Linked DNA regions of Callithrix jacchus. The protein of the gene in region 1 interacts with the protein of each later gene in a pairwise test. Links are inferred from orthologs where the notes say so. Each region holds a gene or a part of one and is shown on either strand. Other genes may lie near its edges.

Region 1 (3,756 bases):
CAGTAGCCTGTTTAACTTCATACACCTTAAAATTAACAATAATCCTATATCCCTGGAGGATACTGGGTAACCACAACTCAAAAGATGGACACAAGAAATGCATTCTCTCTCCAAATCCTTCCTTTAATGTCAGGTAGTACTTCAACCCAAACACACAAAGTATACATACCATAGAGAAAGGGACCTGAGGGCATCTGAGTCATGCATGGCGTGGTAGGTACAAACCTTGGCTCAACCCAAAGGAGCAGTCAAGGGCCTCGAAGAAAGACAATGGTATGCTCGTTCCCCCTCCTTTCTCTTTCCTACTGGGCTTAAAGTCAGTGGAAAAGAACGCTTTTAATCGGTGGAACTGATAAGGCCTCAGGGCCCTGGAGGGTAGACTTGGTTGTTCAGTAATATAAAATATCTTTAAGGAAAAAAACAGCCCAGGCTTCCCAGCAATAGACCATGTATCAGCTGGTTCAGCAGCCTGACCTCTACATCTAGACAAGGAAGTGAGGAGGGTGATTGCTGGGCATTGGTGTAGGTTTATGATGGAGCAGCATAAGATTTTCCGTGCCCTGTGAAATGTATACAAACAGAGCCCCTTACCCTCAGCCCTGCTCTGCTGCAAGGAAGCTGCTGAGAGTGAGTGACAGCTGGGCACAGTGTCTTGTGAGACCAATTATAGGGTCTAATGCAGTGAAGTAAATCAGTCATTTAGGACCTATTTTCACACAGGGGCAAGGAAAAACCAGAAACAACTTCTCTCCTACCCTTTAAACTGAGACACTTCATTCTGCACAATTACCTGTAACAAATGTCTCAGGTCAAATCATAGGCCTTAGCTTCTGCTAGGGTTTGAAGTCTGGGAAACATACAATCCAGTTCTTCTCTTTCAGTCCAAGCTCTAGCTTGTCAGCAAGATTGCTGACAATTTCTCCTTGAGAGGCAGAAAAATCTGCAGTGAGGAAGGCAGCTATTGAAGGTATTCCAGGAGCATGAGACTGAGTTTGCAGAGCTGAGGGTTCAGTTTCCTTTTCTACTGATATCTTCTTCCTTTAGAGCAAATTTCCTCCGTAGGACCTCAGAGATAAGCACAGCAGGGTCTTCCTCCTTCAATAAACTCCGGTTCCTAGAGGCACAATAACAGCTTGAGTACTTCTTCCTGGGTAGTGCTGTCTATCTTTGAATACATTATCTCATTGAATCCTCACACAATCTTAAGAGGTAGGTGCTACTACAATTCCCTTTCACAGATACAGAAATTGAAGCATAGGAAAGTTATACAAGTTGCCCAAGGTCAGTAGTCACTCAGCAAGTAAGTGGTGAATCCAGAGTTCAAAACCAAACTAGCTGGTTCCAGATCTCTTCTCTTAACTAGAATGCTTTACTAGTTCCTGAAATAGCTATAAAGTGTGGGTAAAGTAAAGGACCATCAATCTGTAAGAGCTGGCCTCTGGTGGCTAATAAGCTTCTGCTTCTGCCTTCTGGCCCTATGTTTTCATAGTAGCATTTCCCCAGGTCAGCAAGGGAAGTGACTGATGACTCTTGGCTATTCTGACCCTTAATAGTTCTGGAGAAAAGGTGTGTTTGGGATTTCCTACTACCCTGTCTCCCTTTCAGGGGAGATGATGTTTTTATAAGAGCCAGAATTAGAGCAAAACATTCACTTAAGAAACTCATGGGAACAAAACCAACTCCAAACTGAAGTCCAAATTATCAGATACATTATATAACAGGGTCCTAGATACCTGGAAAATAGTTGCTTGAAATCCTAGTGAACTTATATACGTGTATCCTCATGAAGGTGTTTGATTGGTGATTAAGCTAAATATAAAGGCCAAGACTGACTATTCAACATTCAAAGCAAAAACAAGACTGCATTTGGTTGGTGACATTTCTGAACCTTGCTGATTTCGGTACTTTCCCATTCTTATTCACTGACCCAGCTCCTGATGCAAGGACATAAGTGGGAGGAGGGGGCTGGCAGTAAAGGTCTTGAATCTAATTTGGTCCAAAAGGCAAATAAGAGACAGTTTTGAGAGTCAACAACTATAAAGCATTGTGTTCAGAAGAAAACAGCTCAGAAAAGACCAAAAGCAGCAGCAACTGAATTTGGGAATATAGAAGACCAAAGAGCAGGTGAGTATGACCAACCTGACTAGGGCCAGTGAAGGAATGTTAATGGTGATTTCCCAAATGGGTCAACTGCCAGGAAGCAATGAGAAAGTCATTTAGCCTGATCTAGTTTTCAGAAGAAAATGCGTCCTAGGAAACAAAAAGGGAACCAAGGCAAGTAACTTTCCCTTTAACAGGAACTTTATCAACTCAGGAGACCTCACTTCCAGTCCCTAAAACAATTTTTCATCTGCATTAACAAATAGAGCTGGCTGGGTGCAGTGGCTCACACCTGTAATCCCAGCACTTTGGGAGGCTGAAGTGGGCATATCACAAAGTCAAAAGATTGAGACCAGCCTGGCCAACATGATGAAACCTCATCTCTAGTAAAAATACAAAAATTAGGCATGGTGGTGTAGTCCCAGCTACTCGGGAGGCTGAGATAGGAGAATTGCTTGAACCCTGGAGGTGGAGGTTGCAGTGAGCTGAAATCATGCCACTGCACTCCAGCTGGGCAACAGAGTGCACTCCATCTCAAAAAAAAAAAAAAAAAGTCAAATACATCTGCACAAGCTCGGTGCTGGCTATCAAGGTCTAAATCTCAAATGCTCAGGAGCTTACATTCAAACCAAGTTCCTCTGGTATCTGGTGGTCCTGTGCAGCTGTTGAAACTACAATTCAGTTGTGGATTGTATGCACCCCACTATGCAATGGGATGACTCCCTGAGGCTTCTCTGCCAGATGAAGCTTTTCCCCAAAGTCCCTCATGCGCCATCGGAAAAACCTAGAGCTCCACTCCTTGGGGTTCTACTTTAGTAAGTTAAAGATGTATTTTTAACAAATCCAAGCAATTCTGATACACAGACAGGTTTAGGAACTCCTGGTGAGTCTCAAAAGCCTTGTTCTCAAATCATTGAATTTGCAGGATTTGCTTGCATAATGGACCACTGTATTTTAAAGCAGAAATCTCCAACTTATGAAATTCTCCTCCCACCAAAAAAGTCTACTAATTTGAGATAAGAAAACAAAACATAATGTCATGCAACCCATCACTTTGAAAGGTGGGGCATGGAGACACTGTCACTAGCAGTATAAGAAATGAAGTGGTAAAGCCACCGAGAACAGAAGTTGGATTAGATGAGCCTTCTTGTAAGATCCTTACTAGCCAAATATTTGGTTTGGGTGACCTAACCCAATAAATGTAAAGTGTTGCTCTTTCCTCAAACTGGGGCCTAAGACACTAGCAAGCAGGTAGTCAGGAAGCTTTATGAATGACATAACATACGGTACTACTAAGAACTTACTATTTAAGTATGTTGCATTAGATCATTGGCCATGGGTAACTCAGAGTAAATAGATCACCAGAGTTCCTCATCAGATACTTACAGATCTTGGCTCTGTTTCATCCGGTGAAAGTCCTTCAGGATACCCATCATGTCTGCAAAGCTGCTGGCCTTGGACAAAGAGATGCAGTCATCCTCTTCAGACGAACTGCAGGTAGCTTTGTGTTCTGGTTTGCAACATTCAGGGCTGGCAGAACAAAGCAGGGGGACTGATGGAAGCTCAGGAACCTCCACCTCTGTCTCCTCGGTGATGTCACTAATGACAAAGGAAGTTGTAGAGTGGAATGAGGATCCAAAACAAGGTAAGGGAGAA
Region 2 (3,656 bases), on another chromosome or scaffold:
CCAAAGTGCTAGGATTACAGGTGTTAGCGACCATTTCTGGTCCTATTTGTATATAATATATATAGGTATTTTTGCCAGAATAGGCAAATATAGACAAACAAAATGTAGATTAATAGTTGCCTAGGGATGGGGAGTGTGGGGGTCTGGAGAGCAATAGGTAAAAAGTTGTGGTGTGTCGGGCACAGTGGCTCACATCTGTAATCTAAGCACTTTGAGAGGCTGAGGTAGGAGAATCGGTTGAGGTCAGGAGTTTGAGACCAGCCTGGGCAACAGAGCTACATCCTATCTCTACTAAAAAAAAAAAAAAAAAATTAGCTATAAAAAATAAAAAGTTGTAGTGATGGTGGCTCAACTCTATGAATATACTAAAACCACTTAATTGTATACTTTAAATGAGTGAATTGGATGATGCTGTGTGCTTACATCTTAAACAGCTATTATAAAATAAAAACAAAATAAGTGCGTCTTTGAGTGTCTATGTGTATAATATGATCCAATCCTCAAGAGTGTTAAATGAAAAGGAAAGTGGTAGAACATTCCAAGCATGTAGTATGATACCATTCATGTTAAAGAATAAAAACAGGAACAGCCATGGTGACTCGCAGCTGTAATCCCAACACGCTGGGAGGCTGAGGTGGGAGGATCACTTGAGCTCAGGAGTTTGAGACCAGTCCGGCCAACATGGGGAAACCTCATCTCTACAAAATATCAAAAACTTGCCTGGCATGATGGGAGTGTGCCTATCATCCCAGCTACTCAGGAGGCTGAGGTCAAGGAGGATGGTTTGGGCCCAGGAGGTGGAGATTGCAGTGAACTAAGTTCCTGCCATACTGTACTCCAGCCTAGACCACAGAGGAGACTCTGTCTCAGAAATAAATAAATAAAAGGATAGAAACAATGTAGCATGTTACCATTTGTGTAAACAGACCAGACATATATGTTTCTACACATATAAATACAATTAACTGGTCTCTCAGTTTTTTACCATGTCATCTAACACTTTTTCCAAATTGTCTCCTTAATTGCAAAGATAAAACAGAGACTGAAATTACTAAAGGCAACTTACGAGTAAAGCTGAGTGGACGACTGGAGGGTTGGGATGGTCCATAAATAAAATAAGGCCAGGCAGACATCCTTGATCCTGGACGATGGCTCTTCTGTTTAATGGATCTGCTGCTAGATCCCGTAACTGGTTAACCACCGACAGAGCATCAGGCTCTTCACTCATGGTGGAGGTGGAAGAATTCATCTTCTATGCCATGCACATGAATAAAATCTTAAATTCTGTAGAAAAGGTTTGCAGAATTAGTTCTAGGCTGCTGAGGTATATTATGGCATTTGTGAAATAACCAGTATTATAACATGTTTAGAATGAAATAGGTAATGAAAACTAAATCCCACAAAAACTTAAAAATTGGCAACTCTACAGTTTAAGAACGGTAAAATGAACATAAGATGACTGAAAAAACTTGTGTGCACAATGTTTAAAGGATATCATCATCAATATTCCAATAAATTACCTTTTAGCATATATATATTTTAACAATTCAGTCACAAGAGATCTTTACAGCTCAAGCTTGTAACCTTCGCTATACTTCTCAAACTAACATTGCCAGTGTTTTTTTTTTTTTTCTCTAGACTATTTCTAGGCTTAAACAAGTGCCTGAGGGAAAAGTGGCCAGCTTACAGCTTTGCTATTCATCAGTGAACAAAAACCTAGCATACTCTGTCTATAAAGAATAAAATGCCCTAGGAAAAAGGGAGTAGAAGTCTGTAAATCAAGAAGCCAGGAAAGGTATTTAGCCTGCAGCCCAGGCCAGTCGAGTCTGAAAGATCATAGTGAATCCAGACTGAATTTAAACACATTCTGTCCATCTGAGTATGCCACATTCTACCACCTAACAGAAAAGCAAGAACAGGAAGAATGAAATAGAATTTGATGTAATTCATTTGCCAGATAAGGACACAGTCTTAGAGAAGTTCAATAATTTGCCCCCCATCACAAAAGCTAGTTAGCACAGAACTGGCCTAAAATCTTATTTACTATTTCTTAAACTCATTAGCTTTCCACTTTCCATACTTTTGTTTCTCCAGTTTTCTTTTTCCTCCAATATAGAGACTCACTCTGGTCACCCAGGCTGGAGTGTAATAGCGCTATCTCAGCTCACTGCAACCTCCGCCTCTGGGTTCAAGTGATTCTCTTGCCTCATTCTCCCAAGTACCTGGGATTACAGGCACATGACACCAGGCCCAGCTGATTTTTTATATCTTTAGTACCTGGGATTACAGGCACGTGACACCATACCCAGCTAATTGTTTTGTCACTTTAGGAGAGACAGGTTTTCACCATGTTGGCCAGGCTGGTCTCAAACTCCTGATCTCAAATGATCCACCTGCGCCCGGCTGATACACTGATTTTAAACCAAAAGTATAAGGCCGGGTGTGATGGCTCATGCCTATAATCCCAGCACTTTGGGAGGTCGAGGCGGGTGAATCACCTGAGGTCAGGAGTTTAAGTCAGGTTTCACCTGACTAACATGGTGAAACCCCATCTCCACTAAAAACAGAAAAATTAACTGGGCGTGGTGGCACATGCCTATAATCCCACCTATTTGGGAGGCAGGAGAACTGCTTGAACCCAGGAGTAGGAAGTTGCAGTGAACCAAGATCAGCCACTGCACTCCAGCCTAGGTAACAGAGTTGAAACTATGTATCACTTAAAACAAAAAAAAAAAAAACAGCCTGGCCAATATGGTGAAACCCCATCTCTATTAAAAATACAAAAAAATTAGTCAGGTGGCCGGGCACAGTGGCCCACGCCTATAATCCAAGCACTTTGGAGGCCAAGGCGGGCAGATCACCTGAGGTCGGGAGTTCAAGACCAGCCTGACCAACATGGTGAAACCCCATCTTTAAAAAAAAGAAAAAGAAATAAAAATTAGGCATGGTAGCAGGCACCTCTAATCCCAGCTACTCAGGAGGATGAGGCAGGAGAATCGCTTGAACCCCGGAGAAGGTTGCAGTAAGCCAAGATCATGCCATTGCATTTCAGCCTGGATGACAAGAGCAAAACTCCATCTCAAAAAAAAAAAAAAAAAAAAGAAAAGAAAAGGAAAAAAGAATAGAAAGAAAAAAATAGAATTTGACATAATTCATTTGCCAGATAAGGAGACAGTCACAGAGAAATTCAATAATTTGTCCCACATCACAAAACTAGTTAGCACAGAACTGACCTAAAATCTTACTTATTTCCTAAACTCATCAGCAGTTTTTCCAATTTCCATACTTTCATTTTAAAGTCAGTATATCACCCCGGGCGTGGTGGCTCACAACTATAATCCCAGCATTTTGGGAAGATTACAGGTACACACCACCACGCCTTGGTTAATTTTTGTATTTTTAGTACGGACAGGGTTTCACCATGTTGGCCAGGCTGGTCTTGAACTCCTAACCTCAGGTGATTCACCTGCCCTGGCCTCCCAAAGTGCTGGGATTACAGGCGTAAGCCATGGTGCCCAGCCACCCATAAGCTTTAAATGCTGTCACTAGCACAAATTCTATCCAAAATGGAACCTGCAGAACCAATCACTGGCTCAAAGACCCAAGAGGCAAGTCACAGCTAAAGAACCGGATACACAATCCAGCAATCCCACTTC

Evidence for each region.
Region 2: the proteins of MTFR1L (region 1) and ARMC1 interact in binary tests that used the Homo sapiens proteins (3 or more experiments, as listed by UniProt). The two-hybrid records come from large-scale screens. The link is inferred for Callithrix jacchus from reciprocal best matches to the Homo sapiens genes MTFR1L and ARMC1.

Annotation. Positions count from the first base shown.
Region 1 is NC_133508.1:62,468,418-62,472,173, reverse strand, and holds the end of MTFR1L (mitochondrial fission regulator 1-like), read right to left. Parts: coding exon 3,487-3,756; intron 1,115-3,486; coding exon 1,009-1,114; 3' UTR 103-1,008; downstream 1-102. UniProt on the Homo sapiens protein: Mitochondrial protein required for adaptation of miochondrial dynamics to metabolic changes. Regulates mitochondrial morphology at steady state and mediates AMPK-dependent stress-induced mitochondrial fragmentation via the control of OPA1 levels.
Region 2 is NC_133517.1:21,506,139-21,509,794, forward strand, and holds part of ARMC1 (armadillo repeat-containing protein 1), read right to left. Parts: intron 1,285-3,656; 5' UTR 1,250-1,284; coding exon 1,067-1,249; intron 1-1,066.